Caenorhabditis elegans: one gene and its partners. The protein of the gene in region 4 interacts with the protein of the main gene of each other region in a pairwise test. Each region holds a gene or a part of one and is shown on either strand. Other genes may lie near its edges.

Region 1 (9,877 bases), on a different chromosome or scaffold from region 4:
GATTATTCCTACCGGCTAATTTTTTTTACTGTTTCATTCTCTTCCTAAAATAATTTGTCTAATAAATGTTGGATCTTGTTAGTGAAAAATGTGGAAAGTTGATGTTTCTTCTTTGATTCCTCAATCTTGCTTTTTTAGAAACCTTTAAATTTGGCAGTGGAAAACTTTAAATGAAATGGATGTCTCAAATAGTTTCCGGATTTAATATGTTGCATTCAAATATTTTTATTTAAGACTGTTTAATTTAGAACATTTTAAAAGTGTTTTTTACTATTTTTTGGTACTGTTGCAGTAACCATAATCAAGTATAACGATATGAAAACTTTCAAAACGAACTGCTCAGCCAGTCCACAAGCGGCATACTGTTAGTTTATTTCGGCAAATTTTGTCAGTTCAATTTGAAAATTTATTTATTAAAAAAGGATTAAGAACTCACCCAAGAGAATGCCCATCGTTTTTAGTGTTATTTCTAGTGTTATACCAAGTCAATTCAGATATTTCAAAAAATGCAACATTCTCTGATGTGCCTTCTTCTTTTCTTTGCTTTGCTCTCCAAAAATGACTAACGAGTGGAATGTTATCTTATCAAAAACTGCATCATTCAGCATTTGACAAGAGTTTCACTGGCGCTGAAATCAACATTTTCACTTCTCGACTCTTCCTAACTTTTTTTCTAAAATTGCTCATTACTTCTATAGATTAACTTTTTAGTTTTGATTTAGTTTGGGTCAACAAAAATGAGTAGTATTCGATACAGGAGACCACCAATCATAGAACGAAGATATGAAAGAACTCCATCATATTCGGTAACTTCAAGAATATTCGATTTCAGTAATAAAACTGTTTTCAGACGATTCCAAGGGATATTCATGTCTCATTCTACCATAATAACTATCACAGATCAAAGATTTTGTATTTGAATAAGTTCAACGCAATGGAAAAATTAATTGAAGCTGCACACGAATTGTATCCATCAAATGGTGTTTATCGTCTATTTTCGGGTGAGTTTTTTGAAATGAAAAAATATTTGTAATAATTTTTTAATAGATAGTACAATTGGTGCTCAAAACGAGTTGAATGATTCAGTGCAAGTTATGGAATGTGTTCAAAATCCTGATCATATTCTTCCACATCTACATATAAGACTGGAAGGTAAGATTTTACGGAAAACTTTTTAAAAAACAGTTCCATAGTCCTATTATAACAACCTTGTTAGTTCTTTGTTAGATAATCTTACAATTTGAAAATTCAATTATTCAAATTAAGTTTTTTTAAAAAAAGGAACAATGATCTTTCAAAGTATTTTTTATTTTCAAATTTTGAGAAATTTCAAGTTGTTTTGCAAAGGTGTGTTCTTATGTAACTCAAAACTAATAGTAACAAAATTTTTAAAAATTTAATTTTTCAGATTACCGTCCCAGAAGCATAAGCCGTAATTATCACGAAGTTAACGTTCCAATAATTCGAACTCCATCTCAACATTCAATCCATCAATCTGTTCGATTCAACGATAACAAACGTCATCACCATCATCATCATCATGATTCAATAAGAAACTTCGTCCATCATGACACTCCATGCCGAAACTGTTTCCGTATAATTGTTGGAAGCCGTTATCACTGTCTTCAATGTCCAGACTATGATATTTGTGGAGACTGTGAAAAAGATTTGGTTCACTACGAGCATGCTCTTCTACGAATTGTGACTCCAAGGGTTACAAGTATTCCTGATTATGTCACAGTTAACGCCCCAAGTTACATTTTCCCAGAACATCGTTATGATATCAAAAGAGAACATTATCATTGGTTTTAAATTGTATTTTATAGTTTTGTTGTTTTTCCTATTTATGTTGTGAACTTAGTTTTTCTGTCGGATTTCTGTCCTATCTTGTTATACTTAAAAAGACCAAAAAAGTTATGTAATTGCAGAAGTGCAAAAAACCAAGACGCATCCTCCATTCAATTTTAATTTCCTGAAATCTATCTCGCAAAAAAAAAAACAAAAAAAAAAATTCCCTCTTATTTTGAATTTTAAAATTAAATTTTTCTTGTGCTTTTCAGAAATCTGTTCCAATTGAATTTTCATTCCTATTGACTTGTAGGACTAGAATTAATAACACCGCGGACCACCTTTATTGAGAATTTCAAAAACATTTTGTAGGCCATGTTTCCAATTTTTAATTGTCTTAAAATTAACACAATGTTTCAAAATTTCTATTTTAATTGGCTCCATAGAACACTTTTCCATGTAATTAGAAAATGCCTACCTGCCTGACACCTAGAAAGTGACCAACGCTTACTGTGCATTGAAAGCATGCAAGTAGGCATTTTTGCATGCGTGGGAGGTTTCTACAACTCAGCCAAAGCAGTCTATTGTACCTACCCATTCCTTATTTATTCTTCCGCAATCACCAATGACGCGTTCATGATTTTTCACTTTTTCAAAAACAAAATTTGATTGTCACTGCCCTTATTAACTTTTGCCCACGCTTATTAAATTAGTTTCACTCCTGCAATTCAAATCCTACTAAAACCTCTCTGAAAATGTTATTTCTCCTTTTTGTTCAATAAAACTCAAATTTGAACATATTCTGATTCTGAGTTACACAAATATTTTCAGTCCCTTCAACCTATCATAAACTTTGATATTTGCTCAACATTTTGGAGAAAGCGATGAAGGAGTCAAAAACGGGCGGCCCCGTTGCATTCCTCCTCCAAACGCACCAAAAACTGATAAGATGTTGTTAAGAAGAAGAAGGCACCAAAGAAAGATTCTCTTATCACATTTTTTGGCAGAGAGGGAAAGAATTGCGCCTATTTCAGTTGATTGTTCACCCACCATTTACTACACTATTCCAACATTTTTATTGACTCTTTTCGTTGGAATTTTCCATCGAGTTCAAGGAATACTACTTCCACTCTACCTTTTCAAACTTCTTTGTTGTTTGCTTAATTTTTTCCTAACTTTTTCACGACTGAAATTACGAATTCTCAAGTTCAACTGTCCGTTGTACAAAATTCGAATACGATTTCAGCATGGGAGACCTACAAGTCGACTTGAATGCAGCACTTGTAGCCGTTAAACAGAAATGTGTGGACTTGGATGAACAAATTCGAAGAGAGAATGATGTAAGTTGTGTTCAAGATCCATAGAAAATGTAAATTTTCTGGTTTTTTCAGAGATCAGAAAATCGCGGACGTGGATATCTGGGAGTTCGTCGATACATCTATGCATTGACCACCAAGAAGAATGAGGTCTGTTTTTATTTTAAAAGTGTTTTTTTTTTGAAAGAGCTGGCATTAATTTTATTTTGGACTAATTTTTCAAAATTCCGCAATTCGCCTACGATATTTGCAACTCATTGCTCTACTTTGACAGCTCTCGGTTCACTTTGGGTTTATGTTATCAAAAAATTGCCAACTGACAAAATACGCGCATACTATTTTTTCTATATTTTGCTTATTAAACAACTGTTATAAAAGACAACCAAGATATAAATAAAGCAGTTTGGGTGCAAGTCTAATAGTGAAAATACGGTAAATGTGCACTTAACTTTTAATCATTTTTTCTGATTTAATTTCGATGTTTCACACAAAAACCACAAAACACAAAAGTTTAGTATTTTAGAGAAACTATGTTTTCCAAATTTCGACCTCAACTTTGACTCATTCTTAATCCCCTCCTACCTTCCAAAAATTTAATTAGTCATCATAATTGCGGATTGCAAATGCCACAGTGCGTAGTAAAATATCAAAATTTCGGCCGCAATCACTGATAACAGATGCCATTTCTTTTTGTTTAGAAGCATTGTGCAAGTGTCATAAAATGAGAAGGAAGTAGGCGATTCGGGGTGATGATGACGTGGCAAACATTGAAAGTATTTTCAGAACCATCTACAACGACGTGGGCGATCTTTGACAAGGGTGTACGTGGAACAAAAGTTTTACAGATCTGTGAGTTTTTGAAAATGAGAAAGTTGTTTTTGTTATTTTTGGGTTGGGTACAAATTCGTATCATTCTGAAGAACAGGTGTTATAATGCTTTGATAAATCGTTAATACGATATTGAACTTTTCAAGACTATTTTTGAAGACTATTTTAGAAGATGATTGTGCATTGTACATAGAATTACCAATGTGATAAACTGTATGTAAAAAAACTACCAGAAATGTTTTAATGCTTCATCTATTTTTTGTTTTTAAAAAAACAGCAAAAAAGGTTATTTCATAGTTCAATATTTATGAAACAAATAGTAAAAGAGTGCAAACATTTAGAATTAAAAAACAACAAAAATGCAGAAAATAAACGTTTTCGATATTTAAGTTTTTCAAATAAAATCAACGAAATAAATATTCATAATTCCTCCTTTCAGAAATCTGTACCATCTCCGGATCAAGTTCAACGCCTCGAGGATTGCACACAGGATTACGGACCAAATGATGAAGAACGCCTGGAATACGTGGAAACTGTTGATGCTCCATTGGAAGAGCTCATTAAAGAAGATCAGTCTCATCGCCATGTCGTCTCACAAAGACTTCCACAAGGGCACGGAGAATGGGATCATGAACTTGCAGTTTATGAAGAAGATGGTGGTTCTGGGCTTTTGGAGGATCGAACACTGACTGTGAGAGCTGGAGATCATCCTTTCGGAATGAATCAATTCAACGAAGTGGCAGAGGATATTAGTGCAAGAATCGCCAAGTTTTTTGCTGAGAAAGAAGAGAACCACATCAGAACTCGTGAGCTTTCTCTTTCAGTTCATCCAGTTTATCATCAAAGTAATGGAGATGCATACACTTCATTTGGAATGTCCAGGTCAAAATCAATGGGATCAGTTGCTCACGAAGCACATCAAACATCTAACAATCAACATAGTTCTGAAACTCATGGAACTGCTTCTTCAACTCAGTCACGACCACGTTTGGATCAAGTCTCTTCCACTACAAAGTCCTTAAGCAATTTGTTTAGTGTTGACACTCGTCATGACTACAATTCTCGATATGGAAATTATGTATCTGGATATGGACATTATGGAACACCACTTCCACCAGCGAAAAATCAAGAAGTAATGCCAAAAATGCCAGCGAAGAAGTCGGAGCACATTTATGATGAGCCAATTCATAGAACATCTACCACAAATGTGTATTCAAGCACTTATGAGAGAAAATATGACTTCAAGTGAGTACCAAATCTGTAATTGATTGCTAAACTTTTTTATAGAACAACATTCCCACCAGAAATCGAAATGCCAGAAGGATATCACGATTATTATGATCCGAGCAAGTTCATGTTCTTGGATGCAAAAGGTTATTATCAGGTGAGCAAAAAAAACTTGAATTGGAAGACAATTTTTGAATACTTGACTTGTAAATTTAATAGAACCAAATTATTCTCAGTCCATCCAATTTTTTTCAGGGCAACATCACTCGCCCACTTCACTATTCCTACTCTCGTGACTATCTAGAAAAGTACTCGGACTACGACGGAACATCACGACTTCCATCTCCAGCTCCTCCAAAGACCCCGGAGCCAGCATACACTGTGCTCAATAGATCAGAAGATCTCCCACATCACCCTACCCATTTGTCTTTCTCGTTCCCAGACTATTACGATCACGCCACTCAAATCATTCTCAGTCGTGATCCTGGACTTGAACATATTCCATATAAAATTGGGCCATTTGCTGATTACTATGACAATGTTCATCGTATCATTCTGTCGCATACCAAAGATTTGGATCATTGTAAAATTGTAATTCCGTCGTTCCCAGATTACTATGATCTGTCAACTAGATATGAAGTGCTTCATCGAGTTGAAGACATTCTTCATGAGCCAATTGTGATCGAGGAATATCCGGCATATTGTCCATATGAAGACACGAAATATGAAGTACAAGAGAAATCTGTGACATTGGACGATGAGCATATATACGAGGAAGTGTATGAACCTCCACTACCTCCACTTCCACCTCCAGCACCACCAATAGTTGTTCATGTTCTGAACTACACTAGAGATCACGATCACATTGTATTCGTCCCATTGCTTCCTTACATTCCACCACCACCTCCACCTCCAGCAGAGATTATTCACGTTGCAACTCCAGCTGAAGTAATTGAAGAAGAACCAGAGCCAGTTCCAGTGCCAGCTAAACGTCATTATGATGATCTTTATATCGGAAATGACGCTCTTGATGTATCAGTGTCTCCACATTTTAATCAATCCAATGATCAAAAGAATTTGGGATTAGAAAAGAGTGTCACTGATAGAGTTAGAGAAATGGAAAGAGCAATGAGAGGAGAAGAAAGGGAAAGACTTTTGGAAGAAGAAAAGCGAAGGAAATATCTGGAACTTCAGAATGAGATTAAGGCAGCACGGGAATACGAAGAAGAACATGCATATGAAGAGATTCAAGAAAGTGAGTTGACTTTTGATTGAATAATAAGTTAAGAAGCAACGATTCCGCCATAAAAGCAAAGTTGATACGTAGAATAGGTTGTATTCAAACGAAATATGAAATTTCCAATCGAATTATAGAAACTTCTACCCCATCTTCACCTTGTAAGATTAAATGTGATAAAAGGAAATTACCAAATCGTGAGTGTGTTGTAGAATTTGACTAGAAATGGAAGATGAAATAGATAATAGTAGTATAGATTTCCCTGCAATCTTCGGTGAAAATGACAGCTTTTTGAATGATATCAATAGCTAAAATTCCCATCATTCCCACCAAATTTTTACTGTTTCAGGCAAGAACACTCCTTGTCCAGTATCACAGCCTATTCTTATTCCATCGGTGTTTGTCCCAGTGGCAGTTCCAGAACCTATCCCGGAGAAACCGAAACGAACATGGCAGCCACCTCCAAAATCCGAAGAATTTTTGGACGAGCATATTGACAAGCCACTTGGCCCTGTCATTTTCCATGAGTTGATCTACCGCAACGGATTTTTGCTTAAAATGAATGAAGAAAATCATATTCTAAGTCAAACCCGTCCAGTCAGTCATCCAGTTTCTCGTGCCAACTCTCGACCAACGACGCCTGGATTAGAGATCAAAACTATCGATTTTCCACGTCTCGATGATGCCGCATCCCCAAGAGATCACTCTGATTCTGCTGGAAATGTTGATTATGTGCATAAACATATCGAACGGTACAATGCGAAGGATGGTAATGATCTGATTAAAACTGTTTATATCTAAGAAAGTGTATTTTCAGCCTCTGTTGTCCAAGATTCTCACGACGAGAGTCGAGCTCATTCGCATATGCTTTCAAATACCGTCCAAACTCATACACATTCTCAATTAATCAATCAGAATCAGGCGACTCATTATGATGCTTATGCTACTTCTCAACACTCGAATGCTCAAGAGTATTCAACTGTTCATGGATCACAAACTCATCGAGGAAGTGTAGTATATGATGAACCACATGGACAAGTTGTCTATGATATTCCACACGATCAAGGTAAAATATTTAAATTATAATTGAAAATATAAAATTTTCTGTTTCAGAACATCACCATTATGACACTGTTCACGTTCAACACCATCATCATCATCATTATCATACAGATGGCAGTGAACATGTTCATCACTATCATCAAGATGAAAATGCTCATCAACACAGTACAGCTGAAAATGAACATATTCATCACTATCACACAACATCAAATGAAAATGCTCACCATCATCACTCGGTTCAAAATGAGAAAGATATTCAATATCAGCTGGCTCAAAGCAACCAATCGATTCGACAAATGAGCAAGACCAACAACTGGGATGAACAAAATATTCAATCATCAAAGAGAGCTCACATTGAGGCACACATTCCGGTTAACTCACCATTTGTGAAAAGAGAAGATTCAAGAGTTAGCACCACTTCTCATGTGAGCACAGCTTCAACTGCAACTACCACGGGAACTGTTGTTCAGTGCTCGAACTCGTTGAATCGCCAAAATATTCCAGCTCCATTGAAAATTCAAAACGGAAACTCAGAGTCCTATCACGGTATGACATGTTTCAAAGAGGTGTTTCTATAAATCTCGTAATTTCAGAACACAATCATCACCAGCATGTGCATTTTGACAGTGTTGAAAATTCGGAAAACATTGCTCATCAATGTAAATCAACAACTTCCTTGGACTACCAGCCAGTTCATGTCGGACATGTCAAAAATTTGGCAAAACTTTTCAAGTTCGTAGATTCTTTTTAATTTCTAGATTTTAATTCTCGAATTCCAGTAAGCCCGACGAGAAGCCACTGACAACTGAGCAAGTGATCTACCGTGTCAGTGCTGCACCACCTGGTCATCACTTGGAACCAGGTATTTGACATTTCGTCAGCTGATTCTTTTTAGTTTCAAAATAATATTCAGAGATTAAACCTCGTCCACGTTCTTTGCCCCGCATTCCACTTGATGAGATTGAACTCCATGAGCATGGAAGTAAAGATCATATGACACGTCATCATCATGAAATGCACCAGGGTACTGTAGATGAGCACAGTGAACATGGTTATTCTATTGGTGGTGGTGCACAAAGGATTGATGTTTCAGCAAGAAGTAAGTTTGAAAAATCTAAAAGAATTATCACCATCCGCTGAACGTCTAATAATAAATATTTCTACAATCAGAATTTTCAGCTTCATCAACAGTGATGCACTCTCCACCTGTCCAAGTTCAACACAACTCATACTATCATCGTCAGTCATCAGACGAGGAGTCAATCCGTGTTCGTCGTGTCTACAAGGCCCTAGATGACACTTCAATGCTCTCTCCGGTCTCCTTGTCCGGCGATGGACCAAATTTTTAAATTCCGAATAAGAAACAATTTCATCTCCGTTGATTTCATTGCCTCTAGACTTTCAAATTGATTCAACAATTCTTAATCTTCCGATTTCGGTCAGAAAATACCTGTCATTTTCAATTTTTGTTTGTATTCCTAACATTTTCTAATAAACTTAACTGTGAAGTCCAGCCCCGCCAAGAATAACGAGCATTTCCTTATGAGGCCCAGGGGGAACATTCAGAACTTGACACTCGAAATTACAATGCAATGAGGGCCGTAAGATTATCTTTTCAGAAAATATATTTTTGAACCAATTTCCAGTTTAATGACCATAGATCATTGCATGCCACTCACCGAAAATTGAAATTTGGCAACAAACATTTTGGATCTTCCAACAAAAAAAAATGCATACACTTGTTCATATTTTTTGCAATGTCCAACGTATCCCTTATGACTAACGTGAAATGTTTATATAAATACATTGTTAGTGTCATAGTCTCTACGCCTTTCTTTTCTTTCTCTGTTTTTTCTCTGCGTCTCTTCATCCCATCCACTATTTTCTCACCTCTAACTCTTCCGGGGGCCCCGTCAACAACGGCCGCCTCCTACCCGGTCGCTGGCGCGCTCTCTTTCTCGTATCTTTTTGTTCTCAATTTCTCAAAATCTCTCTATATTTACCCAGTGCTTCTTAACTTTTTTGTCACACGTCTCTCCACAACGAGGAACAGCCGCAGAACAGAAACAGAAACATACGCGTGCGCGCGCGCCTCTTTCTCTCCGTCGGTCTGCCTGAAAATGAGAGGATGCGGGGGGCTTCTCTGTTCCTCTAACTTCCTGCGTTTCTTCATTTGTTGTCTATCTCTCATTTTTGGGTCGCTTCATTCTCTCTTAGTTCCTCTGTGAGGGAGGCTTGATGAATTGAGTGCATTCTCTCTTTCTCTCATTACGAAAAGGGCATTATCCTTTCGAGCTTCATCTTATTGTCTTTTTCCTTAAAAAATTACCTAAGTGGCCCTTTAACTTCTAGATAGACCTTGGATTTAGACTCTATCGTTTACATCCTCTATTTCAATTAAGCAAAATCCATTTTGCAT
Region 2 (5,859 bases), on a different chromosome or scaffold from region 4:
TCGGCATTTTTTCCTTTCGCAGAATTGGCAACTGTTTTGCAGCCGTAATTGATAAGTCCGGTAACGTCCAAATGATATGCAGCAGTAATCAGATCGAACAAATTTGACATTGGCAGTCTACTGAGAAAATGTCTATCCCAGGAAGGAATGCAAATATTTTTCTTGTCCTTCTCGGCCAGTGCAATTGCAGGATCATCTTCTTTGTGTTTATCGCACCATTCAATCAGTAATTTTAATGTAAATCCAACAACATTGTTCACAGGTACCGGTTTTAATTCAGCACAGTATTCCTTGTCATATCCTAGCTCTCTGATGGTTGCAGCAAGTGTACTTGAGAGGAGGAGGGCCCGGATGTCTCCCTGCAACAAATGTCCATCTGAGGATGTCAGTTGAAGTAATCGAGGTGGCGGACCGGACGGCTTTGGTACACTAAACGAAATATTAGATAATTATTTTTATCAAAATGTTATAAAAATACCTTGGTGGTGCTCGTTTTGTATTGTTCTTCTTCGGCATCTGCTTTCCGGACGAAATGTGATGTCTGAAATGGAAAAATTAGAAAGGAAACGAAATTTTGCTGAGAAAATGATCTTAAAAACTTTTTGTCGAACACCATTCGCCACAGAGCGCATTTGCGTTCTTGTTCTACTTCATTCGGCGGCAAATTCAAATTTTAAAACACCCTCGCACAACACAAAAAATCATCGTAAATATTAAAAACGATCAATATCATGCGAACCCCACACCAGAACAAATTCGAACGGTTTACAATTTTTAAATTTTAAGCTCTCTCAAATGTTACTAGTAGTAAGAACTGAACCTATATCGAAAGCATATCCATACGAGATCTCCGAAGATTGTAGGGAAGAGAAAATCTGGAAAATATTTTTCTATATTCTACCCCATATTTACAATAATAAATATTAAAAATATATAAATCAATAAGTGATCGTGTAATATCGATAGGGTTTCGCGCTCCACTGCACTCCCGCCAGCGGCTCTATCAAGTTCTTGAACATCAACAATCTAAGAATGAGCGTTATAATAAAAATAATTTTATTTGACATGCATTAAATAGGAAACATTGTAGAATAATCGACAAAACTTGGTGAATAGAGGGGACGAGATCAATACAGGCGGTTTTATATGAATACGAGATGACTACGAACATGATGTTTACTCAGTTTTCCTTTGTTTCTGAGGTTGATGGCATTTGAAGAACAGCCGGTTTGAATTTTGGAACGGGCTCGGACAGTTTGATATAGTTGTAACGCGGCGTCGGAGTCGCCAATTTCTTTTCAGCTTGAGCTTTCATACGACGTTCTGCCCATTCTGAAGTATCATCTTTGATGGAGGAACGAGTGGTGAATTTAGCTGCTGGTTTCTGGAAAAATAATTATTTATAGTGAAAAGTTGCACTTTTATCTACCTGTGGCGTAACGGCAATACTGGATAATGAATGCCCTAATTGAGGCATGGGTTCCACGTTTTTCGGTTTAATGAAGAATGATGGTCGTCCATTGTTAAGAGTTTTCAGAGGAGCAGCAAGAAGCGGGTGCTCGAAATCCTTATTGACAACTGGTGCAGCTTTTCTGTGAGCACATTTATTGTCGAATTGTAGTTGCACAATGTCCGCTTTGAGATTTTCTACTTCCTGTTGCAATCCACGAATAATTGTCACGTACTTTTCGTTGTCCTTCATCAAACCGTCAAAACCTCCTTTCACGCTCGCAATTGACAATTCGAACGACTTGAAGTAGCCGGTAATCAACGCTCCCACTTCGCGTTTTGGAATTGACCTCATTTTAATGAACATTCTTTCCCACAAATGAACCCTTTCCGTTTCCAGGTGACAAACTCTGTCTCTGAGACGACGCATCTCTTTGACATCAATATCACTTGTGGTCATTCGGGTAACGTTGAATCTTTTTGTGGATGACCGAAGTCTTTCTTCGACTTCTTCTACTTCCATTCGAAGACGTTTTACCATCCCTTTCAGTGCTCGATTCTCTCCATGAAGAACTTTCAGGTCTTCTTCAACCTTCCGCTCGGCATCAATAACCTGAAGAATATTAAAAAAAATGCAGTTAATTGATATTTTTTAACCTACCTCAGAAAACATTGAATTTCCGCGTGCCGCTAATTTTCCTTCATGGGAGTTTCTCTCATCAAAAAGCTCTCCTTCCAATCTGGCAATTTCCTCATCACGCGTCTCCATATGATTTTTGAGGTCCCGAATATGATCCATCATCGACTCAATTTCATCTTTCAAGTTGACCGCTTCTTTTTCGAGTTCGGCGTTTCGTTCGTAAAGAGCAGTCGCCGTCTCTTTGTATTTCTGACAATCTTCGCTAATACGAAGCATTTCAGATTCTCCGAAGGAATTGGAATCATCATGTTCGGGAATCACTGATCCGTTGGCAAACTCCTTATTCTGAGAATTCAATATATTAATGTTGCCCACAATGATGAAAACCTACAATTTTTTCGAGTTTGTCGATCTCACTACGCAGTGAATCGATGAGAGCGTCCCGATCAAGAATTGTGGCGTTTTTTCCGTCCATCTCAACATGAAGATCGCGAAGTTGTTCACTCAATTCTTGTGCACGTTCTTCGAGTGAAAGTTTGGAAGAACAAGGTTTTCCCTGATTTTTGAGATCGTCTTCCATCTCCTCGAGCATTTCATCTTTTTGACGGAGAATTTTCTTGAGCCTCTCAACGTCCTGAAATATTAGGTTTAGTTGGTAATAGATGAAATGATAAAACGTTACAGCAAGTAATTGGAGCTTCTCCTCGTCGTCAGGCATACTGATTGAAGTTCGATTCTTCTGAAAACATGAAAATGTTTCGATAGAAAACGATCAGTAGAATATTTTTCACGGCAACACGATTTATAAGAACGTTTCACGCAGATCTATAGCTTTTGATGTTTTAATAAAGCGTAAAATTGATTGCGAATATATTTAAACTAATTTTATGGGAATATTTTGAGCTAAATTATATCAAAACGATTGAAAAACAATATTTTTAGGTAAATTGAGGCGCAACTCATTTTGAAATGCGTTGAATACCGCTGGTTCCCGCCGAGAATTGGTTGTTCACGATAGAGCGCACTTGCATGTTTTTATTTTCGTCAATTATTTTCGGATTTATTTCTGAAGATTCAAGGAAAAAACGAGTCGCAATGGCTTCTGGAGGTATTCCCACGCCATTTATGGGAACTGGAGTTAAACAAGATCTTCATTTATTGTGCAACAAGTTTATATCTATGGGATCCAACAGGTATAGTTAGAAAATGTATTATTTGATGGAAAATCTTGATTAATTAAGAATTCGAGACTTTGCTGATGTTTTTCGGGATATGCATTTTGAGACCATTCTTCATTATCGATTAAATCCTGCCGAATGCTTAGAGGTAGCTTTATTTTGATTTTATTTAGTCTATTATAATATTCCGGCTTTCAGTTTACTGAATACCTGTTACAACACGCAGCAATGTATTTCGGAAAAGTGAATGAAGTTGGAGCATTCAGGGCATTCAAGGTTTGAAATAGAAGTAAAAATAAGTCTGAAATGTTATATTTTCAGGAGAGGCTATTCGGAGTTTATGTTTGCTATGCGTTGTACAATTTGCAGCCAGTTGATCATGTCTGTCAGGTGATTAATTCTAAGTTTAATTTAGTTTTAAAAAATTTAATTCAGATTCCGGTCACTGCGGTACAATTCGAAGAGCTTCTCGAATTTCAAAAATCTTTAGAAGTCGAAAAACTTCTTGAACCAATTGCGGCTCTCAAAATGCTTATTCTGAAGAAAGCGTTTAGAATTAAAGTGTTTCAGTCGACATATGATCCGGCAACCCACAAAAAATACCTTGCCGAGGAAGAGTTGCCCTATTTTAACAAAATTCCAGTTGTAAGTAAGTTAAATTATTGGAATTTTTTCATAAACAGTTTCAGGAGCCGTTTTCCAGTGTTACGAAAATGCTCAGTTCTGATATTATGACGGAATTATCATTTATTCACGGAGTTTACACAGAGGCTAAGCAAAAACTTGGACTAAGTGATACTCTAACGGGGCTCAAATCACCATTACACGAAATCAAGGGCATTGTCGAAAAATATAAAGAACAGTTCGAAAGTTCTCCAACAAATCCAGAAATTAGTAGCGCTCCAGAGGAAACAGCTGGTTCAAGCAGATCAACTTTGAGAAGTAAAGCATATGCTGAAGGACTAAAACACACTAGACAAAGAAGGCATCTTGATCCAAACATGGAAGGTACATTTATTACACGAAAATATGTTTTTTTTTTTCAAAAGTCAGCGTTCAACTTTTGCAGAAAACTTCAAACATCTTACCGCAAGAACGTTTGGTGACATCGCCCAGGAATGTTTGGATGATAATGATGCTCAGGTTCCAATGTAAGCAATTACAGTTTAACCCCAAAATAATAACCTATTTTTACAGCCCGATTGATCGCCCTGTAAGACAACGGCGACGCAGAAAAACGACAACAGTTAATCCTGAAGAGTTATTAGACGATAATGCATTGGCTGAAGAAGTTCTACGAAATGAGTATGCTGCCAGAATAAAGCCTGAAATACCTGAAGATTCATTGGGCGGTAAAGTAGGCAAGCAGGGAACATCGGGAGTTGCAAGAATTCGGGCACCAAAACGTGCAAATGCGAAATTGGTTGAAGTGAAACGAGAACAAATCCCACAAACTTCTGCTCCGATAACTGCTTCCCAAATGTAAGTGAAGATTTTTGTTTTTTTCTTCAATTAAAAATTATTAAATTATTCAGTGACGAATCATTCACATCGCCTGCGAACAAGAAGAACAGAAAATCGGCCAGCGTAGTTGAAGTGAAACCTCGAATCAGTGATGAATGGGCCAACAAACTGCACGCATGGCATGGACAAGTCGAGGCTACGGATAAACATTTGAAAAAGTTGACAAGTCAAATTAAGCTGGAAGTTATTGAAGACGAAGAAACATAATCATTTCATTTTCCTTGCTAACCATTTTTTTTAATGAAAATTATACTACATGAATTTTTTTTTTGAAAATTAAATTAAATTTGCTGCTGAGTTGCCTATCATCTCCGACTTTTGTTATTTTATTAATCTCTGTTGGTTCAATCTTTTCAATCTTATACTTTTATCTGTCCAACTTCCAATTATCACCAGTGATAAATCGCCGCAAAAGACCAATTGAAATGGCCTGATATCGTGCATTACATGATTATTTCATACAGTTATCATCTTGTGCTGTAGCCCATTCGTGAAAGCATTGAGTGCACTTTTCAGAATCTTGTTGTAGTTCTACTGAAAATTGGTTTTAATCCTATAGGATAAAATTTTCGTTTGTGATGGGAAGGCAGTATTGAGAAATTGTGGTTTTCGTTTGAAAACGTACTATGCTAAAGTTCTCTTCAAATGACGATTAGTTCAAGGTCTTGCTTAGTTTCCCATTCTTTCTTGAGATACTATCAAATAGTAACTATCTACGACTTTCTTACTTATCCTTTTTTTCTAGAACGCATCCGTATTTTCTCAGTTACTCTTGCACCAAATAACTTATATGACTGCAGATATCAGAAAATATTTAATATGTTATAAAAACTACAAAAAAAAAATTTTGTTTTGAGAAAACAACAGAATTTTCAAAGTTGAATAATAGAGCAAATACCTAAATGCTAAATTTCGCTGTTTAAAAATTACGGTACCCGGTCTCGAAACGGCCAATAATTTTCAGTGAAAGGAGAGGAGTGCGGTTTTAAGGAGTACCGTTGTTCAATTTTTCTTAGTTTTCACACTCACTGTTTATTAAAAATTGAAGCTTAAAAAACAGGAAACGAT
Region 3 (7,027 bases), on a different chromosome or scaffold from region 4:
CAAGAGTCTGTAGACATTATTGAGGTGCGCATATTACAAAAAGATTTATTGAATGATAGATATAAGAGGGATAAGTGTTAATGACCGGCTCATCTACAAACAATTAAAGGATGAGAGAAAGTGTTTGTGATGAGAAAGGCAAACTTGCCATGACGGACCGGAAATACTTTTTGTCTATTGGACTGATGATGACTTTTTGGATATTAGAGGAACTTCAAAGGTGAAGGTTTTTTTCAGTAAATGTTTTGGTCACTTGCTACATTTCCAAAACTGTGCATTTTCTGAGTAATTCGCATCACATTTAAGTAAACATTTAAGAGTTAATGAAATTTCAAATTATGAGGAAATCATAGTAGGAAGCAGAACATTTTCCGTAAATCACTGATGGCAAGCTAATCAGTCAGCTTTCCCCCCACTATTCCTTCGAACCGTATTTCCGTCTTCCACCACCCACCTTTGTTAGCTCAACCGACCCCTGCAAACATGTCAATTTCGGATACGGAACGCCATCAACATTACACAATTTCTGTGTGTCCGGTGCTCCAAACTGGTGCACTTTTAGTGTAAAATCTGGTACAGAGCCGCGGAAACAAAACAAAAACTTAACAACACATTTTATAATAAAATTAATTTTTTCGCTCCCGGTCGGAGATGCTGTGCCCACACCTTTTTGCATTTAAAAACAATGTTTCGTGTCGAGACCAGGTACCGTGTTTTTGGCACAAAAAGCGCAAAATTTTCGGGTCTAATTGTAAGTAATATTTTGAATTGGCACTAAACACTTCGCCTTCAGAGCGTGTTCTAATTACACGCACTGTTAAAAAAATTTATACCAGATTCTAATATATATATCAAATTTAGAAAACAAATGTTTATCGCATAACTTTAATTATTTCATTCATTCCTTGTTTCAAAATGACAGGTTAGTTTTCTTTGTCACATTATGCAACATCATTTGAAATTTTAGACACTTCTACAACTTCTTCTGTAGCAAAGCGGCAAATTGAATCAAAAAACGCTCAGCTTTTGAGACAATTGATTGAAAAGAAAAATAAGAAACTCAAAAAGAAAGTCTATTCAAATGCCGAAGAACAAGAAATTGATTTAATTATTCAAAAATCATTTGATTCAATAATTGGTAAAACTCCATATTCTCCATTCAAAATGTCTGATTGGATGAGCAAGATGATCCAAACAATTTCGGATAATTTAGTGAAGCTCAATGGAAGCAAAAAGTTTTTGGTTCATTGTACTATTTCTGCAAAAACCGATAATCTTGCAATTTGCACGGCCAACATGTGCTCCTGGGATACTACGAAGGATACTGCATACTACTCGGAATGGATGTCTAAAACTATCTTCGGTGCTGTCCAAGTCTTCTTCATCACACATCGTTTTTCGAAGTGAACATCGTCATGAAGAAATTTAAAATAATTCATAAATAGACTCAAAATTACATGAATGAATGAAAACGTTAGTCTTACTGAAATACATGAAAACAGGGCATAGTTTTAAATATTAATAAAGCATGTGGGAATTAAGGCGAGAATCGGTAAAGGCAATGAGTTTTAAATTTTAAGTCCGTAAAATACGCGTTCTGCTGTTGCTACTGTTCTCCCCGTCGAAATCGTGGTTGACTGCGTTCTGCGACTGAATCGGAGAAGCTGCTAGAACCATAGTACTGGATAGAGGAGTCGGCGGAGGGCCTCCTAAGCCACCACTTCCTGGAATTTGTAACTAATTTGGTTGGGGAAATACTGTTATGTGAAAAGTCATTTGGATACAAAGGGTACAGTAGTCAAGAAACAGCAAATACTATATCAATTGAAATGAATATTTGCTTCAAATTTAACTCCTGCACCCTATAGAAACGATTAATTTTCTCACCGTTTGTCAAGCTTGAGGATGTCACTTGAGAAGGTGCCGGTACCTGACGGTGATTATTTTTCGTCCCAAAAACATGATAATTTCCGACTGGATTCATTCCAATTTGGCTTTCTCCGACCATCGATGCGTAATCATTTGTCATAGGACTCTCACAATCTCGACGTCTTCGAAGCCATGTTTGGTCATGAGCAACTGGGCTTAGAGTAGTGGTTTCTAATCGATGAGGAATATTTCTTCCAACTCGTGCTGCCAGAGCATGTGGTGCTGGTGAGCCAACATACGTCACTTCAGTAGTTGCTTCAACTCGCATTGTAGTTCCACTCGTACCAGTGGTGTCCGTGGAATTACGATCATTGCCAAGAATTCCATCACCGAATACATAGTAGCACTTTTCTGTGAATGTCAACTTGCTGACGACATGTCTGATAAGACCAGCAGCTAACAATCTCGCAGCATAGATTCTAGCTTTCTTCCGATTATGAATATCAGCCATGTGATCAACGAGCCAATCGACTAGATCTCGGCCTAAACGTTGATTGTTTGGATCCTAATACTTGAATGTTCAGTACTCACCAATAAAAGACATTGGAACCAAAATTTTCAGCCATTTTCGATTTTTGACAGCTAATCCTGAATCCGGACGAGCCATAGAACGAACAACAATAATGGGATCAATCATTTCTGTGAGTTGCTCTATTTTTTCATTTTGCTCATTTTCTCGTTTTCTTTCTGCTTCTTCAATCAAAGCTCTTGGAATTCCATTTCTACGTTGATCGTAAAGCATTCGCTCCTCATCATCAGAAGCTGTCGATGTAAATGGAAGAGTTCCGTCATCAATTGTAGTTGCCGTTTGCTCCTGTGGATCCAAACCCAGAGCTTTCATTTTTTCAGTGTTCTGCCTGTAAGTATCAAATTAAGAAAATAAATCTTGCGAGGTACCCTTACACAGCGGTTTCTACCCAAACTCCAACGTCGAGGGGCATCGTTTCAGACGCCATGGACGCGAGTGGATCATCATATTCACTTGGGGCACCTCTTGCAAACTTACTGATATAAAGAGTAATTGGTCTAAAAATTAAAAAAAATTAATGCTAATGCGTAGAAAAATACCTTTTGGAGGATGCAGCTTCTCTGAGCGAACGAACTGCTTGAGGCCCACTGAGTTCTTCAAAGGATACTCTATTAACTTGAAGAATCTGATCACCAACGTTCACACGTCCATCTTTTTCAACGGCACCTTCTGGTGCAATTTCGGAAACGAATATATGACCATCAATTGTGCACACGCTCAGTCCCAGATATGGAACATTTTTCATTGGTAGATAAATTTCCAGAATTCGAGGGAGGCCGCTGTTAACACTTGATTCCGTCGCTGAGCTAATAGTACTTGGAACATACGGTCTTCTGAATCTTTCTTTCTTTTGTTTTTTCCTTCTTCTATCGTCATCGTATATCTTATTCATATCACGAGCAGCGAGAGGTTCGTAGAGCGAAGAATCATCTCCTGTTCGACGTGTATGCTCGTCATATTGATACGGATCCTCTGAATTTGAAGTGTATAATTCTGCCAGATGCTCTCCTGCTCTTCCTGAAAAACGTTCATACAGGTTTTTAAGAGTACATAAATAGCAAAAACTCACTGCTAACAATGGTGCTCGGAGCAAGACTAGCATCAGAGTACGGAGTCGCGTCAAAGTCTGCACTTCGTCGGCGGCGCTTAAAATATCAGTTTTTTTTGAAAATAACAGAAATCGAACCTTATCTAGAGCAGTTCTCTGTGGTCGCGTCATTGTTCCACTGTTTCGAGGAAGAGTTCCATATCCTGGAGTGCTAACGAGAAAAATCTCATAAAATCCATTCTGGGATTTGCGCAGCCGATCCGAATCAGTTGTTAATTCGACTTTAACTTCTCTGAACATTTTTCAGTACAGAATAATTACAAAAATTAAAAAAGCCAAAACTCACCGTTGAATATCCGGGTCAAGTTCCTTCGCATAATACTTATATCCACGCTTGGTGAATGAATTTTTGAAATTTCCAAGCGTCGCTACTCCTTCTCTGGCTTCAATAACAGAAACATAGGGAGTCGTTTCATCGTCGAGATAGTAGAAGACCTGGAAGAAAATTATTTCTGTTTAATCACTGGCTTAATAAAAAACAATTCTGATCAAAATTCTTACTTTTATCTGGCTGCAGTCTGATGTGCATGGCGGCTCCATAAATGTTAGAAATCTGAATTCAATATTTTAAATTATAGACCAATAAAATATTTATAAAAATTACAAGAGGAAACAAAAAAAACAAATTTGTTTGCAAAGGACTAGCGGAAACAATTTTATTTTTAATTTATCGGCAATAAATCGCGGGTGGGAACAATGTTGCAAATACGCCCTAGTGACAGCTGGTGTTGGGTCTCGGCACGATTACCCTTCTAGCATGCATGAAGTACGATGCGCTCTGAGAATATTCTACAAGAATTTTAATTTTGATTCAGAATTCAAGGGATCCCCGATTTTCTGGAAGCATTTTTATTTTTACTGAAATATTTTCATTTTTACGTATATTTTTATTTTTGAGTGCTTATTCAAAGCCCCTTTTTGACTCAATATCGAATGTCCTACTCTATTGCTAAGTTAATACGGTTGTGTTTCAGGTAATGGCATCAGCTGGAGATTCCATTCTTGCCCTCACCGGTAAAAGAACTACTGGACAAGGCATCAGATCTCAGAATGGTAACACCGAAAGCTCAATATAAGTATACATTAATTAATTGCAGTCACCGCGGCAGTTGCGATCGCCAATATTGTGAAGTCATCTCTTGGCCCTGTCGGACTTGATAAAATGCTTGTCGATGATGTTGGAGATGTCATTGTCACAAATGACGGAGCCACAATTCTGAAACAACTCGAGGTTGAGCATCCGGCTGGAAAAGTGCTTGTAGAACTTGCACAGCTGCAAGACGAGGAGGTCGGAGATGGAACTACTTCTGTCGTTATTGTGGCGGCTGAGCTCTTGAAGAGAGCCGATGAGCTTGTGAAACAAAAAGTTCATCCGACGACTATTATCAATGGTTACCGTCTCGCGTGCAAGGAAGCCGTCAAGTACATTAGTGAAAACATCTCATTCACTTCCGACTCGATTGGTAGACAATCAGTTGTCAACGCTGCCAAAACTTCCATGAGCAGTAAGATTATCGGACCGTGAGTTTGGTGTTGTCTATGCTTCAAGAAAATTGATTTTTCAGAGACGCCGATTTCTTCGGAGAGCTGGTTGTTGATGCCGCGGAAGCTGTTCGTGTGGAAAATAACGGGAAAGTCACTTATCCTATCAATGCAGTCAATGTTCTGAAGGCCCACGGAAAGAGCGCTCGCGAATCAGTTTTGGTGAAAGGATATGCACTCAATTGCACAGTTGCCAGTCAGGCCATGCCACTTCGTGTTCAAAATGCCAAGATCGCATGTCTCGATTTCTCTTTGATGAAGGCTAAGATGCACCTCGGTATTTCAGTCGTTGTTGAAGATCCAGCCAAGCTTGAGGCTATTCGCAGAGAGTGAGTTGAAACTATTCGTTTCTTTTTAAGCTATGGAATTTTCAGAGAATTCGATATTACCAAACGCCGCATTGATAAAATTTTGAAAGCCGGAGCCAACGTTGTTCTTACAACTGGAGGTATCGATGATTTGTGCTTGAAGCAATTTGTCGAATCTGGAGCTATGGCTGTTCGTCGATGCAAGAAATCAGACTTGAAGAGAATTGCCAAAGCTACTGGAGCCACATTGACTGTTTCCTTGGCTACTTTGGAAGGAGATGAAGCTTTCGATGCCTCGCTTCTTGGACATGCCGATGAAATTGTTCAAGAAAGAATTAGTGACGACGAGCTCATTCTCATCAAGGGACCGAAATCTCGTACTGCCAGCAGCATTATCCTCCGTGGAGCGAACGATGTGATGCTCGATGAAATGGAGAGATCGGTTCACGACTCACTCTGTGTTGTTCGTAGAGTTCTGGAAAGCAAGAAACTTGTGGCTGGAGGAGGTGCTGTTGAGACTTCTCTCAGTCTTTTCCTTGAAACTTATGCACAAACCTTGTCTTCTCGCGAGCAGCTTGCTGTTGCTGAATTCGCTTCAGCGCTTCTCATCATTCCGAAGGTTTTGGCAAGCAATGCTGCAAGAGATTCTACTGATTTAGTGACAAAACTCCGCGCGTACCACTCCAAAGCTCAATTGATCCCACAACTTCAACACCTCAAGTGGTAAGTGAAAATGTTTTTTTTAAAGAGTAGGTTATTACATGTTAGCTTAATGTAATAAAATTAAAATAATTTATTTCAAAAAATTTCGTTTTGTGCTTAGAAAAAGCGTCTAATTCATGTTTTCTGAATTTGAGTCAGTTTATTCACTCTTTTTTTAGGGCTGGTTTGGATCTCGAAGAAGGCACGATCCGCGATAACAAGGAGGCTGGAATTTTGGAGCCAGCTCTTAGTAAGGTCAAGTCTCTGAAGTTCGCCACTGAGGCAGCCATTACGATATTGCGTATTGATGACCTCATCAAACTTGACAAGCAAGAGCCACTTGGAGGAGATGATTGCCACGCTTAAATTTTCCCGTTTACCCCGTTTATATATCCCTGTTTTCCGCGTGCTTCTCACATAATTCCGATCTGCTGCTCCTTATCCCAAATTCTCATGTTCAGCTTTTGTTTTCTTCTTTTGATGATACTTTATTGAACGAAATGTTGTAAGTTTTAATGTTTTGATTTCAAAGTTGTTTGTATTCGTTTTTCATTATTCAAACAATGAAGAAGCTTTGCCACATTTAGTTGTATTACTCATCGCCGCCCAGTGATGTGAAATCGCGATTTTTCGGATCACTGTTAGTACGACGGCGTAGGCTCAGTGGAGGGAGACGGACACCATTAGCAGTGCTGACAGTACTGGTCATCGGTTTATCCTTTGATGACCATCGGAACAATCCACTATTCGATGGACCTTCAGATGGTGGCGATTCCGATGATGATGAGTGTTGTGGAAGTCTCAAGTGATCCTCCTATAAAGAAAGAACCAATATTTTCTTTCAAATTGATCATAAATCTAGGTTTACCTCATTTGAATTTCCACTGGTTTGATATGACAATGGTTTGT
Region 4 (6,795 bases):
TCAATCAGGAATTTGATTCGAAATAACCTTTTCGGAAGATAAAGCGAGATAAATAGGAAATAACTGGGAAAATGGATTTTTTCTAGAGTTTGAAAATTAGAAAACTCCAAGAAAAATTTAATACAGAAGGCTGGAATTGGCTAAAGAAACGATTTAGTTTAAAAAATAAATTGATCTACATTTTAGAAATGTTTAAAAATGGAGTTTTGTCACAGAGTTTTTTTTTTAAATTATCGAATATCAAAAAAAAATGTGCATTAAAAAATTTCCGCTCAATTTTTTCATAGAAGGTTTAAATTATTTTTGGACCGTCTCGCGAAATGGTTACTGTAACAATAAAAAATTTTCGATTTTTCTTTTAAATAATTGGTTTTTTATATAAAATTCCTGGTATTTTGTAACACATTATTTTATTAAATTTAATCTTTAAAAAATATTATCTTAAAAGTTGAAAAAAATTTTCGCGTTACAGTAACCATTTCGAGGGATAATAATAACAATCATTTAGCGTTTGTAAATTTTGCAAGGTCGAGGTAAAAATCCCACCACGAATCGGAAAATACAAAAGTATCAAAAATTCAAAACGACTGTTACCACCAAAACTGAAAAAAAACGATAAAAACCATGAAGTGCAACAACCGCCTTCATTTCTTCTTCTCCAAACGAAACATGAACAAACAGTAGCCAAATGGTTGGTTTTGTTAGGATTTCAGAGTGAGTGCCAGTAGACTTCCCTTGGCAAACAATGCGTGTGTTCTATTCTCAGCCATCTCCGGGGGGCAAACAGGGGGCGATTTTCGGATGAGACATCAAGGAGAAGCATCAACTAATGTAGACGTTGTGGTGCAAATACACTTAGAAGCCCTTTTTGGAGTAGAGAAAAAGGAAAAAAAGAAGAAAAGACGAGTTTCTCCATTTTTTGAGTTAAATGAGGCGAAGAGGAAGGGAAAAAAGTATTCAAATGACTGGATCTGCACCGATGAGCACAACACGTTAATGAAGTTCGAATAACGAATTAAAGGATATAGGATGCATGTCTTTTTAGTTCGACATAGAAAAAAGGAGTATACTTTTCTATTTTCCTTTTTGCAGTTGCGAACTATCATTTTTTGAGAGTAAATAAAATCTCGCGTCACTTTTTTCTTTTGCAAAATCTGAGATTCTCGCCCAAATCACAAATCCAGAGATTAAGAAAACGCGGAATTTTCGATGAAATGGAAAAGAGAAAAAAAAATCTCTCACAAATGAATTATTAGAGTTTGGAAAATTAATCGTTTTTATGTTACGATGAGATTTAATGCGGAATATGGAGCTAGCAAGTTCAATTCTGAAAGTCGCAAAGTAGAAAAGAACCTGCCGAAATTTTTTTGAAATCCATATAAAATTTTAATGAAAATCGATCTTTTGAACGAGCTCTTCTTGTCGTCCGCATTTCCATCTTAAATCTCAAATTTCGAAGCGTGTAATTCTACGCTTTTCTCTTCTTTCTAACGTCTTCAATTTCTTCATCTCCTCCTACTCATCATCTTCATCGACAAATAAACCAACGCGTACAATTACGGTTTTACGATTCCGAGGAGAAGAATGATGAGTGTTGCTCTTCTTTCATATCAAATTGGTTTTTTCTTCCATGCAGCTCTCCACGCAACAATAAAAACCGAACGAAAATGAGAGGAAATCCGACACAAAACACACCCAATTCCGAGGAAAATTGAAACATATGTGTTGTCGAATGAGTAAGAATTTTGAAAGAAGATTCAATTCGAGAAATAATGTCGGGAAATTCAGTTTGTCTCAGTTGCAAAAACTTCCGGGATATTGGAAACGTTCCGAGTGAGAATTTGGCCAATTGAACATATGAGTTTTATAATGTTCAATGCCTTTTTCAACTTATTTCCATGGTTTTTCAGATGTAAAATTCCAGATTTTCAGATTTCTGGTTCAGAATTGAATATCAGATTCTCAAATTTAAGGAAAAATTGGTAGTCGGAATTTTTGTTTTCATTTCCTGTTGAGTTCGCATTCATTCTATATAGAAGAAACTATAGATTCATCATGACAAAAAATGGTATTCAACAATTGTAACAGATGTATGAAGTTATTAGATAAAAAACTAATTAGTTTCTGAAAACTACTACTGAACACTTTAACTCCGGAAAAATTCAATTTCGATACTGTGAAACTACAATGAATCAATCTACATTCATTTTGAGAAACATAAATAATACACAAAGTACCTCACACCTCTGTCAGTCATTCACCCGGGTACACAACGGGATTTCAAAATAATAGTTTGTTGATGGAAAGCGGGTAGAAGATAGATCAACATCAATTATTAGTGTAAATCCTCGGGGTTCCCAAAGGAATACGTGTCAAAGTACAGTAAACTGTAGCTCAAGTCCGGAAAAAAGGAAAAATCTGGGTCATCTAGGCCAAACGCACGAAGAAAACTTCCGGAAGATGGATTCTTGTATTTGAACACTCCTTTTCGATTTTTCCTTGTTCGTTTAAAAGTTCTGATTTTCGGTTTGAAAAAAAAACATTGTTTTTCTCTCCAATCTCCGCTTGCACGCTGGAATGTCAATCAGACGACCAATTCAATTAATTCTATTAGATTTTAGATGTCTTAACTGGAAACTTTAGAAGAATGCAAATATATTCAATTTGGGGGACACTCAGATTACGGTAATTTGTAGTGGAACCTCGAAAATACAACTATTACCCAGTAGCGAAATTTTAGGATTTTTACGCCAAAAAATACGGTACCCAGTTTCGATTTTTTAAATAGTTTTTCTCATAATTAAAAAAAAACCTTTTTTTTAATTTGAGGTTAAAAAAAATTTTATCGAAAAATTTTGATGAAAATTACACAGCAAAGTTTAAAATTACAGTACTCTTTAAAGGCGCACACTTATTTGCATTTACCAAAAAATGTGTCGTTTCGAGACCGGGTATCGCATTTTGGGATACATACGAAATGTTCAAGTTGTGAACAGTTTTTTTCTACTAGCAGAAATTCAAATTTCGTTGAAAAACTACGATTCTAAGAGGTGTTCCGGTATAAACTAAATACGTCAATGAAGTGTCAATCTGCAAAAATCATCAAACCTTCAAGCTTAAAACACAAAGCACAATTTCTGGTTTAAAATTTGAATTTTTTCATTCAAATCAACCATTTTCATTGAGCTATTCAAACTTTCACACTTCCGTTTCTCTCTTTTCCAATTCAAAAACTACCAATCAACGTCACATCACTAATCTTTTCTTCCAGCACACACACACAGTACTCTGTCACGGTAGTCTTAATAGGCTAATAAAAGTACAAAGTTAGTGGTTTTGATGCAATACGCAACTTATTTTCCCGATAATGGGAGCACAATGGGCAAATCAACCCGATTACGTGCTATGTTCTGATTATTTGAACATTGTGCACTTTTTTGAAAACGTTTTGTGAATTTTGCAATTAAATTGAATGACTTAATTTTTTAATGTATTTTTACTTTCTAATTTAAATTCAATGTAGAAATTCAATGCAAAAATTTCAAATTTTCCAACTGACCAAAGAGCATTTTAATATTTTTCAGCTTCTAAAAATGCTTGTTTTTGTTTATTTTTCTCCAACTTTTTTTTTCATATTTTCTTATCATTCGTACCTTTCTATGTCCTGAACGAGTGTACTGCCATTTCTGTTGTCTGACGTGGTTGGTTGCTCCATTCGGTATGTTGCTCGAATTACGGTATGCCAATGATCCCGGAGCAGATTGTTGTTGTGTCGCTTGTGGATGCCCGTTCGATGGTGGTTTAGCATTTCTCGTTGTCGGCTGTGCGCACAAATTGTTAGGTATCCACGTTGGCATCATGTTTCGTGGTTCTGAAATTAAAGAATTATTAGTTTTATGAAGAAGAAGTTCTGGCAACGGATAAAAATATTTGAGAGTGTGAAATATTTCGTCGGAAAAGAAATTTCTGATATTGCAAAGGAACTTTTTTTGAAAATTCCCTCAATTTACCAAATTTAACTGTTAAAAAAAACTATAGATTTCTTTTTCTGAATTTTTAATGATTTTTTTCAATTTTGCAAAAATAAAAGAAACGGCTCCATGATTTTTTTTTTGATTTTTTTGTGAAGAAAACTTGACGACCTGAAATAAAATTTCGGAAACTTTAAAATCAGTTCAAAATTCGATTATTTAACTATTATTTCATTTTTTGTTTAAAAATGTATGAAAAGTGAAATTATAAAAATCCATGAATTTTGCCAGAAAGTGCAAAAATTCAAATTCCCTTCCGCCGATTTTGTATTTATATTTCAGCGAAATTGAATAAATCATTGAAAAATTAAACACTGTTTTTTTTTACAGATATATTCGGGACATAAGGCAAATTTTCGTATTTTCTAGCTCAATGGATACACTAAATAAAGGAAAAAAAATCGTATAGAACTTTTCCCGCAGTAAAAGTAAAACTGGCCAACTATGTAAAAACAGAAAATGCAGAAAATCTATTCGAAAGTTGTTTTTATGAATAAAAAGTCTATGAGTTTCTCCTCGTCAATTAATTAGCTTCGTCAGAAAATGCATAATATTGTTCCTGTTTTGAAGCCATTTATCTTTTGTATGGTTTCCCAAATCACTATGTTGAAGTAAAAAAGAGCAAAAATCATTTATGATGTCAGAGAAAGCTTTTTTCCGAACTTTAGAGACTCTAACTTGCAGTTTTTCAAAAAAAAAACTCCGAGTTTACTAGCAATTTCACTCCAAATTCTGCCTATTTTCCCTGTATTTTTTCATAACTCTCTCACCGCAGACCGATAATACAATCACCATTGTACACACACAACACTGTCTCATTCTTTTTGACCGCCCACCCAAAATGTTTAATATTTGTACGAGCGTTCTTCTTCATAATGCTGACTCATTTCATTTTCAACACTATTTTTCAGCTTTTTCTAACGAAATAATGACGGATTATGATGACTATGAAGACCGATCTGGTGTGGTAGAAGAAGAACTATTGGATTTTGATAGAGTACGTCTAGAATCAAATTTGGCAACAAATTTTCAAAATATTCAGGCAATGCTGGACTTTCAAGCTATGTTTCCCAGTCTAAGCAATTCACATATTGAATATGTTCTACGGAAATATGATGGAGATGTTTCAGCCACTATTAATGAGCTACTTTATGATAACGTATGTTAATTTTTTTGTTTATAGAAATTATTGCTTTACTACACGAGAAAGCACTGTCAGCGAGAATATTGTATCTCAATTGTTCAAATTTCGATCGATAAATTCCAAAAATAATTTCAGACGCCAACTACAACGACTTCTGAATCTATTCCACATGGAGGAGACTTAACAAAATTAAGGCAGCGAAGGCATGAAATAAACGAAAAACTGAGAGAAAATCAAAAATTTTTGGATACGGTTACAGATGTGGAAATTGCGAGGTAGAAAATAAAATTATTTATACACTGAAAATCGTGAGAAATAAATTTCAGAGCATATGAAGACCAACAACTGGCCTTATTACTTGAACACCGAGAAGTGAACACCCTTATCAGTGAGGAGAAAAAGAGTGAGCTTTTATTTTTGGGAAAATATGGGAAAAACAGGAGAAAATAAACACGTGGCGTCACAATTTCTTTCAGAAAAGTCATGTTCTGACTCATCTTCTATTCAAGAATCGCGCCGGCATGTGAAAATTCCCGGGAAAAATTCGAAAAATTCTAAAATTAGTGTGAACAAAGCGAAAAAATTGGAACCGAGACGACGATCGGACGAAGATCGTGTTCCAGATGGACCATACATCGGGGAGGGAGAAGTAAAATCGGAGAATTTCGCGGCGAAAATAAAGGAAACGTTGAGAAAAGGTGGGGTGGCCATGATTTATAGGGTCGCGAGACTATGTTTAGTTGATATTTCGATAAAACATCTGTGAAACCATTAAAAATCACAAATTTCCCGCAAAAAATCAAAGAGAAATAACGATTTTTGCAGAAAAAAACAAAGAAAATTAAAAAAAAATTTTTTTGAAAAATGAAAAGTCCGCAAATACGCGTGGCGGTGTTTGCGTATTTCACCAACTACCGTACCCAAATATTATTTTTTTCAGCTTCCGGATCACGAATTTCGAGATTATTTTCAGCACCATAATCTAAATTGTTATTTTTTCAGTTGTTAAATAAAAAGGAGACTCATAATGAATTCATTTTATTTTATCACATTGCAGATTGATCACATTTGAAATGCGCAACTATATTTTGTATTAGGAACAGTAAATACAAGAAAATGGGAGACAGAAGATGAGAGAGAACCCGTAAAATGTTGATTTTTCCATATAAAGTATTAAAATATTAAAAACAAAAAAAGAAAACAAATTCCACTAAAGTGTCAACAGGGATTTTGAAAGAGCATCTAGCTTGAATAGTTCGAAAAGTTCCGCCGATTTGTAGGTTTCCATTATTAATTGATTCATTTCCTGAAAGAAATAAACATTATTTTTTAGTCTCATTTATCAGTTGTAAATGAAAACTTACAAAAACAGTTCCCATTAACAAAATGAGATTTCCTATCCTCATGCCAGTTTCATCAGGATTTCCGTACAAATCATCATAATAATTGTGTAATCCGTTGAGCAATGCTTCTTCGTGTTCCTTCCCGATTACTTTCATACTTGGAGTAAATTCACAGTAACCTACAAAATATTTGATTTTTATTAATTTCTCACTAGATGAATTCTAACCCAGTTTCCAAATGCACAAAGCTTTAAGAGCTGCAAATTCCACGTGTGTC

The links.
Region 1: the proteins of mpk-1 (region 4) and ifo-1 interact in a two-hybrid assay, tested with the Caenorhabditis elegans proteins (3 studies listed by BioGRID).
Region 2: the proteins of mpk-1 (region 4) and spdl-1 interact in a two-hybrid assay, tested with the Caenorhabditis elegans proteins (4 studies listed by BioGRID).
Region 3: the proteins of mpk-1 (region 4) and mig-5 interact in a two-hybrid assay, tested with the Caenorhabditis elegans proteins (3 studies listed by BioGRID).

Annotation. Positions count from the first base shown.
Region 1 is NC_003282.8:7,319,821-7,329,697, reverse strand, and holds ifo-1 (Intermediate Filament Organize), read left to right. Parts: upstream 1-3,034; 5' UTR 3,035-3,035; coding exon 3,036-3,128; intron 3,129-3,179; coding exon 3,180-3,254; intron 3,255-3,887; coding exon 3,888-3,953; intron 3,954-4,371; coding exon 4,372-5,177; intron 5,178-5,219; coding exon 5,220-5,316; intron 5,317-5,414; coding exon 5,415-6,414; intron 6,415-6,745; coding exon 6,746-7,165; intron 7,166-7,213; coding exon 7,214-7,462; intron 7,463-7,509; coding exon 7,510-8,004; intron 8,005-8,051; coding exon 8,052-8,190; intron 8,191-8,237; coding exon 8,238-8,320; intron 8,321-8,371; coding exon 8,372-8,557; intron 8,558-8,637; coding exon 8,638-8,807; 3' UTR 8,808-8,964; downstream 8,965-9,877. Other genes in the region: ocr-4 (Ion transport domain-containing protein), read left to right, coding at 1-19; sqst-2 (ZZ-type domain-containing protein), read left to right, coding at 738-806, 851-1,001, 1,048-1,152, 1,409-1,812.
Region 2 is NC_003280.10:7,778,535-7,784,393, reverse strand, and holds spdl-1 (Spindly-like protein spdl-1), read right to left. Parts: upstream 2,829-5,859; 5' UTR 2,808-2,828; coding exon 2,772-2,807; intron 2,724-2,771; coding exon 2,481-2,723; intron 2,435-2,480; coding exon 2,111-2,434; intron 2,063-2,110; coding exon 1,430-2,062; intron 1,385-1,429; coding exon 1,181-1,384; 3' UTR 1,043-1,180; downstream 1-1,042. Other genes in the region: skr-17 (Skp1-related protein), read right to left, coding at 1-429, 479-516; snpc-1.1 (snRNA-activating protein complex subunit 1), read left to right, coding at 3,185-3,282, 3,331-3,415, 3,466-3,543, 3,589-3,657, 3,703-3,912, 3,957-4,275, 4,337-4,418, 4,465-4,749 and 1 more. UniProt on the Caenorhabditis elegans protein: Transient kinetochore component required for chromosome and spindle pole alignment and chromosome segregation during mitosis.
Region 3 is NC_003280.10:8,180,903-8,187,929, forward strand, and holds mig-5 (Segment polarity protein dishevelled homolog mig-5), read right to left. Parts: upstream 4,122-7,027; 5' UTR 4,107-4,121; coding exon 4,068-4,106; intron 4,002-4,067; coding exon 3,853-4,001; intron 3,799-3,852; coding exon 3,645-3,798; intron 3,604-3,644; coding exon 3,528-3,603; intron 3,476-3,527; coding exon 2,998-3,475; intron 2,956-2,997; coding exon 2,833-2,955; intron 2,787-2,832; coding exon 2,461-2,786; intron 2,413-2,460; coding exon 1,888-2,412; intron 1,738-1,887; coding exon of another isoform or gene 1,725-1,737; coding exon 1,576-1,724; 3' UTR 1,421-1,575; downstream 1-1,420. Other genes in the region: dylt-3 (DYnein Light chain (Tctex type)), read left to right, coding at 916-922, 968-1,407; cct-1 (T-complex protein 1 subunit alpha), read left to right, coding at 4,544-4,619, 4,664-5,087, 5,132-5,437, 5,483-6,139, 6,298-6,484; T05C12.8 (ANK_REP_REGION domain-containing protein), read right to left, coding at 6,711-6,932, 6,987-7,027. UniProt on the Caenorhabditis elegans protein: Plays a role in the signal transduction pathways mediated by multiple Wnt genes. Functions redundantly with other dishevelled family members throughout development.
Region 4 is NC_003281.10:4,224,238-4,231,032, forward strand, and holds the start of mpk-1 (Mitogen-activated protein kinase mpk-1), read right to left. Parts: upstream 3,858-6,795; coding exon 3,654-3,857; intron 1-3,653. Other genes in the region: F43C1.5 (uncharacterized protein), read left to right, coding at 4,960-5,028, 5,074-5,190, 5,311-5,450, 5,502-5,578, 5,652-5,873, 6,116-6,156; Nuclear hormone receptor family member nhr-20, read right to left, coding at 6,386-6,481, 6,540-6,697, 6,746-6,795. UniProt on the Caenorhabditis elegans protein: Functions in let-60 Ras signaling pathway; acts downstream of lin-45 raf kinase, but before the lin-1 gene product in controlling vulval cell differentiation. Plays a negative role in proximal germline proliferation in the mitotic zone.